Linked DNA regions of Xenopus tropicalis. The protein of the gene in region 1 purifies or fractionates together with the protein of each later gene. This does not show direct contact. Links are inferred from orthologs where the notes say so. Each region holds a gene or a part of one and is shown on either strand. Other genes may lie near its edges.

Region 1 (3,752 bases):
GTACTGGGAATGCCAGGGGGGCTGTAAGGTGCCACAGACAGTCACTATTTATTGGGCTGGGGGGGGGGGCTGTTTGTGCCTCTGGGTACTGGGAATGCCAGGGGGGCTGTAAGGTGCCACAGACAGTCACTATTTATTGGGCTGGGGGGGCTGTTTGTGCCTCTGGGTACTGGGAATGCCAGGGGGGCTGTAAGGTGCCACAGACAGTCACTATTTATTGGGCTGGGGGGGGCTGTTTGTGCCTCTGGGTACTGGGAATGCCAGTACAGGGCTGTGGGTATCGTTGGTGCTGAGGCCGGTATTGCTGGCAGGTATAGTGGGTGGGTACTTCTAGGGGTGCCACCTGGCCAGTATGATGCCTGATGCCAGTGTTATTAATAGGAAAAATAAATAGCGGAAAGCCTTGATTTTTTCTCAGAAAAGGGGGCAACCATCGGCATTTCTGGTAAGTGTGGCGGATCTCTCTGGTAACTAAGGCAGGTATCACTGATAACCATTGCGGCAATTAACTGGTGGATATTGCTGGTAATCAGGGGAACTATAGCAGGTACATGGTGGGTATCTCTACTAACTGTGAAGGCTGTTGCTGATATTTGTTATTATGGCAGATACTAATATTGCTGTGGTAACTATGGTGGGATATGCCGGTATATAATGCAGATACTTGTCACTATGGCGGGGTATAGCCATATAGATTTATTTTTCCAAACCAGCCTGTCAGTTCTAAAACCAGCCCAAAACTAGCCAGAAGCCTCTTTGAAAGTAGCCCAAAAATAGCCCAATGTGCAATGAAAAAAAATCTAAAAATAAAAGTATATATGGGAAAACCTGCCTGTTTAAAGCGAATAATCACTATCTCATACCCTATAGAGTAGGGAGCAGAACATACAGGTTGAGCCTGAAAGAGCAAAAAGGAATAGAAAACAGAGCCTCTGGCTATACTGTCCCATTGCATGCTGGGTATTGTAGTTTTATATTAATCCTAGCTGCAGGCTATTTGTTAGATACAAACTACATTACCCAGCATGCAGTGGAACAAACTTTGGCTTGTTTCCAAACTACAAACCCGCCAACGCTTCAAAAAAATAGCCCAAATCTGTACCTTGGTGGGTTTGTACTCTGGAAACCCGTCAGGGCTCTAAATTAGTAGCCCAATGTGGCGGAAACCCCGCCAACCCTGACTAACCGTGACTAACCTGATAAATATGGCGGATATTTGTAATTATGGCAGATACTAGTATTGCTGGGGTAACTATGGCGGGTTATGCTGGTATAGCTTATACAGATAACTATGGTATAGCTGGGAATCATGCCGAATACTACACTTGGTAACTACGGCGGCTACTGCCGGTAACTGTCGTGAATACTGCATTTCGCGACACTATCGTAGCTCAGCCGGCCCCGCCCCCCAGGTGGCAACGTGCGACGTCATCCCGTTCATGTACACGCAGTGTGAGGCGCACTCTCGCGAGATGAGACTTGGGCGACTGGATTAGTTGTCCGGCAGGAGTGAGGGAGTCAGACGTCGCTCGGCGGTGCGGGAGTGGGAGGCAGGGAGCCGGCGGTGCGGAGAGTGTCCCGGGGAATTGGGGCCGTGCTGCTCAGGTAGGGCCATGAAACACCCGGCTGGGGGGCAATTGTAACATACGGTAGAATTTCGTTGCAGAGTGAGGGGTGCGGGCGGGGTGGGCTCCCCTATGTCTCCCCCTGCACCCCCTCATCTCTCTCTTCTCTCCCTCTAGGCTCCGCCTCTGACTGGGCGCTTCTGCAGGCGAGGAGGAGGAGCAACTGGAAAAGGGGCGTGTCCTGGCTGCCTGGGGGTGTGTGCTTCCAGTTGGGGGTCAGTATGGAGTTGGGGTTCCCCCAGTCACCCGGCCCCTGCAGGAGCCCCGAGGTATAAGCACCCAATAGTATAACAGTGAGGGCGCAGGGAGTTGTTGCTACGGAGAGAGTCGCCCCCCGCCCAGGTTCCGCCGGTGATGCCCCCATGCAGGTTCTGCTAGAGATGGCGGCCACCACGGAAAATCTGCAGCTACCAGGGGCAGCGGGAAGTACAGAGGGGGAGGCTACCACCTTCCTGGCTCCACCCCCTGCCCCGCCCCCGCCCAAAGCAGAACTGCAGCCCAAAGCCACAAAGGAAGGGGCGGAGCAGCAAGCAGCCCCCCGGGGGCCCCGCAATGGCTTCCAGGGGAAGAGGAGGAACAGCTTCAACGTTGGCTTCAAGCACCCGGTTCCGTTCAAGCGGCGCCGGAGGGTCAACTCGGACTGCGATCCGGTCCTGCCCTCCAACTTCCTGCTGGGGGGCAATATATTCGACCCCCTCAACCTGAACAGTCTGCTGGACGAGGACGTGAACCGCACGCTCAACGCCGAGACCCCAAAGTCGTCGCCTCTTCCGTCCCGGAACCGGGATCCAGTGGAGATTCTCATTCCTAAAGACATTACGGATCCGCTGTGCCTCAACGCCAGTTCCGGGGAGCTCCTACTGTCCCCCCTAAAGAGTAGGAAACGGCACCGGCACCGCCACCACCCGCCGACAGATGCACCTTCAAAGGCTCCCGGGGGGCCGGCTCAGGAAGCAGAGCCCGCCCCCGAGGAGCCGCAGCCATACGAACTGAACACGGCGATTAACTGCAGGGACGAGGTGGTGTCTCTGCCCGCGCTGGAGAGTGACCCGGCGGCGCCATCGGCCGGCGCTTCCGCCATATCTGCCTCTCGGCACCGCAAACGGAGAAGGACTTCCAGCAAATCCGAAGGGAAACACGGGAGCCCGGAGAGGAGTAAGAGCCTATTGGCCGAGGGGGCCGCCTTACGGCCGCACTGCCCCAAGTCTCGGGCCAAGGGCAAAACCAGATTCCAGTATGGGAACTATTGCCGTTACTATGGTTACCGGAACCCCAGCCAATCGGAGGACCCCCGCCTTCGTGCGCTGAAGCCAGAATGGTTTAGGGGGAAGGCAGTGTTGGACATTGGCTGCAATGTGGGTCACGTGACTCTGTGTGTGGCCAAGAACATGGGGCCCTCGCGTGTGGTGGGACTGGACATTGACAGGTCCCTAATAACCGCCGCGCGCCAGAACATTCGCCATTACCTGTCGGGAGAGACAAAGAGAGACGGTGGCTTTCCGGCCGGACTGGTCGCCACTCGGGGGCCCATCGCTGCCCCATCACTGCCCCCAACAGGCGGAGAAGGGAACGGCTTCCCACACAATGTGGTGTTTGTGCAGGTGAGACAGTCTGAGCGACTCCCCGAGATGTGACACCCCTGCACCCCCACCTTCTGCCTACCCGCACCCCCATCTTCTGCCTCCCTGCACCCCCACCTTCTGCCTCCCTGCACCCCCACCTTCTGCCTCCCTGCACCCCCACATTCTGCCTCCCTGCACCCCCACATTCTGCCTCCCTGCACCCCCACATTCTGCCTCCCTGCACCCCCACATTCTGCCTCCCTGCACCCCCACATTCTGCCTCCCTGCACCCCCACATTCTGCCTCCCTGCACCCCCACATTCTGCCTCCCTGCACCCCCACCTTCTGCCTACCCGCACCCCCACATTCTGCCTCCCTGCACCCCCACATTCTGCCTCCCTGCACCCCCACATTCTGCCTCCCTGCACCCCCACATTCTGCCTCCCTGCACCCCCACATTCTGCCTCCCTGCACCCCCACCTTCTGCCTACCCGCACCCCCACATTCTGCCTCCCTGCACCCCCACCTTCTGCCTACCCGCACCCCCATCTTCTGCCTCCCTGCA
Region 2 (3,752 bases), on another chromosome or scaffold:
GAGGAACTTCATTTGCTCTTAAAATCCAAACCCTTTAAGTGGCCATACACTTGCTGTTCTTCACTGGTATCCAGCTCACGTGGGGGAAGCCAAATGGCTGGATAGGTTACGATTGACTCTTCACGTGTATGGCCGCTTTTCTATTGCTTTACTTGTTCTGGCCAATAACCCTAGAGCTGGGCGGTATGACCAAAAATTTATATCACGGTATTTTTCAAAATTATATCGGTGTCACGGTATTTGACTGTATTTTTTTTTTCCATGCATGATTAGGTGTTAACCCCATTTCCTAATAAATTAGAGAATAATTACTGCAGTATTGAAAATCAGAGTCAGGCAAGCAAAGGATCGGCAACAGAAAGTCGTAAGATAAATCAGGCAGGCTTAGTTTCCCAGGCAAGGCCGCAGACAACATAGCACAGGAGGAGGCGTTTGATAGCTTTAAAGGAACAGTAACACCAAAAAATTAAAGTGTATAAAAGTAACTAAAATATAATGTGCTGCTGCCCTGCACTGGTAAAAGTTGTGTGTTTACTTCAGAAAGTCTACTATAATTTATATAAATAAGCTGCTATGTAGCCATGGGGGCAGCCATTCAAAGGAGAAAAGGCACAGGCACATAGTAGATAACAGATAAAACACTATTGTATTCTATAGAACTTATCTGTTATCTGCTATGTAACCTGTGCCTTTTCTCCTTTTTTCCAGCTTGAATGGCTGCCCCCGTGGCTACACAGCAGCTTATTATATAAATTATAGTAGTGTTACTGTAGCAAACACACCAGTTTTACCAGTGCAGGGCAACAGTGCATTATATTTTTATTACTTTAAAGCTCTTTCATTTTTTGGTGTTACTGTTCCTTTAAATACCCCCCCACGCATGCACAGAACCGGCGCCGTCAGCGTGTTGCGGACGTGCACGCTTTGACATGTACGTGCGCACCTGGACGCGCATGCGCAACGTCCCGCAGACAACGGGACGCGCGCACGCAAGGAGGCGCGCGAGACCGGGCCGCACGGGTGAGTACCCTGACACCCCGGTATTGCGGTATCTGAAAAATGAATATAATTTTTTTAAAAAAACCCACTGGTGTTCGGTATTAAACGGTATATCGCCCAGCCCTAAATAACCCCACTGACTGGAACTACCATGCCACCATGGTGCATCAGCACATAAAATGTTTAAATATTTCACATTACAAACACAAGGAGATTGACGGCAGTTTTGTCCAAATGAGCCAAACTGCTTAACCAAATCTGGGCATAAATGACCAGCTTAAACATGATAAGAGGAAACCACTGTATCTCTAAAATCCTAGGAAAATCAGCTCTGCTCTTGTTTACCCCACAAGTATACTGTTCTCCAGAGTGTGAAAAGCAGAGACAGTTTATAAGACTCAGCTACCACAACATTTTCTAGGTCCTTATACAGAATAAAAGGAAGGACGGAATTTGAAAGATCTAAGTGAACCATTATTTGGACCTACCCGTTTCAGATTTTTCTTCGTCCCCACACTCCTCTGCAACCGAGTCCCCTGGGTCTGTTTTTGAAGCTGCTCCATTTAGGGATTCGACCCCCATATCAGATTCCTCCTCTTCTACAACAGGAGGGGGTTCTATTTTCTCAGCCTGTGAGTCAGTCTCCTCTTCAAGTTGTTTCTTTACAGGTACAGCATCATTTTCCTGGGCTGCCACTGCTTCCACCTCATTTGGATTAAAATCTTCCTCCTCATCCTCCTGACCTTCATGTAGCATCTCCTCTTCATCCTCTTCGTCCCCTAGTTCCAGAGCCAGCTCTTCATCACCCCCAGCCATTTCCTGTATAAAAGCCCCTTTCTCTTCATCGCCCCCTAGGAGTTCAGAATCGAGAGCTTCCTGCAACCTCTCGCACAGCTCTGCTTTTAATCCACGGCTCTCCAGGCCTCTGCGTTGCAGCTCAGCCCGCAGCTCAGTCACTTTCATCCTCCGTGGATCCAGGCCGCTCATCCTCAGTTCTGATTAAGAAGACAGAGAAACAAAGCGGAAATTATCTACAGGAAGCGGAAAAGTGAGCCCTAACCGGAAGTAGATCAGGAAGAAACACTAAGGCGGAAGCTTGAGAGGATAAAAGAGAAAGATTTTTTTACAGTGAGTGGATCCCAGCTACCTGTTATGGTGCGAAAGGGAGGCCAATCAGGGACTCTTTTTTTTGTGCGCGCTTACGAGGTGATCCAATCGTCGAGCGGCCTCGCTTGCAGTAAAGATGACGTTCCCAGGTGGGCTGCGGCCAAAAAAATATATTAAACTTACGCAGCACGTCCAACTTGTTGCAGGACCTCGGTAAAGCGCTCGTTTTCCTCCCTGACACAAACTGGCCGCCACTGCAAAAGACACAACCGCTTACAGCGCTGAACCCCACCTGTGTGACGTGCGTCGCTCCGATTGGTCTACCCGGCAAGGTTTTGTTCCGCCTTAGTGACGTGGCAGGTCCTGGTTGGCTTTAATTGAGGGAAAGACCTGTCTCCCGCAGGCGCTGGTTATCATTTGCTCCAGTGGGCCGCTATCGCCTCTCTCCTAATTGGCTAGCCTGTGATGGCTGCTAAGTTACCCGCTGCTTCGCCCTTTTCATTCTAAAGAAAAATAAACAGTGACGTTTTGTGTTCTGATTGGCGAATTATGATAAGCACGTGGCTCCGTATTACTCGCAGAACTACAACTCCCAGAATCCAACGGGACTCCCAGGTTGTTAAATATGTCTGGGAGTTGTAGTTTAGTCACTCAGTGAGGTCGTGTATTGTCTTAGCTTTACAAAGAAATAGTGTTTCAGCGTATTAAAATGCTGTTTATAGTTTACATTTAGCAGTCGTTATTCAGTTTACAAATAGTAAATCGCGTTAGCATTTTTTTCTTTTCAGACATGCCGTCTTACGGGGAGGGGACGCATCGGCGCTTTCAATTATCTTAATGCTATACAATTACCGGATAATTACTTTAGTGTAATTTTTCTGTGCAAGTAACTTTGTGACCAGAAGTAATAATTGCTCGTCTTAAATTTGTCATATTATCATCAGTTTAGTCCTTGCAAACCATTTTGTTTTGCTAAATCGCGTATAAGTAAAGTTAGTTGCAGTGCGCGTCACGTGACACTGGCTACGGCGGCTTCATAGTTGTGGGCGGAGTCTGGAAGCAGGAAGTAACATGCAGCAGGGTGTGAATTATGGCTGAGCAGGTAGATTCTCGTTTCTTATGCCAAGAGACTTGTGTGCACAGCGTATATGTTTGCACACTGTTCATGTATTAATTATAATTGGTAGGGATTGCCCCAGATAGAGAGATTCTGTGGCTGATAAGTTCAGCTGCATTGCAACCAAGCACATGTTGTATGTTCACTAATCTTACGTAAGTCTATTGTAAAGGTTTACATTCTATTTAAAAGGGGAGCAGATATGAAGGCCTGGGTCAGTCTGTACTGATTTTTTTTATTTGATAGTCGTATATGTATTATAAAAATAAATAACATTATTAAGTTAACCAGAATGCCAGCATTCTCCTACAGCAGCAGGATACGTGTAGTTCAGCAAAGGCTGCAGGTTGGGGCACCAGGTTTCAATGCTGACACATTTCTGCATCATCTAGGATTTGTGTCTGTATGTGAGACCCCTTCCTATCAGTCTATCCCACATCCCACACTACATCGCACCTATGGGTCCCATTCTGTTATCCAAGTGGCTGAGCTGCAAGCTGAATGGACTGACACAATACAAATGGCCATA

The links.
Region 2: the proteins of mepce (region 1) and hnrnpul2 purify together in Homo sapiens (affinity purification with mass spectrometry; 3 studies listed by BioGRID and IntAct, with this or other methods). This does not show direct contact. The link is inferred for Xenopus tropicalis from reciprocal best matches to the Homo sapiens genes MEPCE and HNRNPUL2.

Annotation. Positions count from the first base shown.
Region 1 is NC_030679.2:152,333,486-152,337,237, forward strand, and holds the start of mepce (7SK snRNA methylphosphate capping enzyme), read left to right. Parts: upstream 1-1,458; 5' UTR 1,459-1,605; intron 1,606-1,742; 5' UTR 1,743-1,987; coding exon 1,988-3,226; intron 3,227-3,752. UniProt on the Homo sapiens protein: S-adenosyl-L-methionine-dependent methyltransferase that adds a methylphosphate cap at the 5'-end of 7SK snRNA (7SK RNA), leading to stabilize it.
Region 2 is NC_030680.2:34,629,878-34,633,629, reverse strand, and holds the start of hnrnpul2 (heterogeneous nuclear ribonucleoprotein U-like protein 2), read right to left. Parts: upstream 2,489-3,752; 5' UTR 2,399-2,488; exon of another isoform or gene 2,147-2,398; intron 2,128-2,146; exon of another isoform or gene 1,995-2,127; 5' UTR 1,987-1,994; coding exon 1,488-1,986; intron 1-1,487. Other genes in the region: ttc9c (tetratricopeptide repeat protein 9C), read left to right, coding at 2,656-2,721.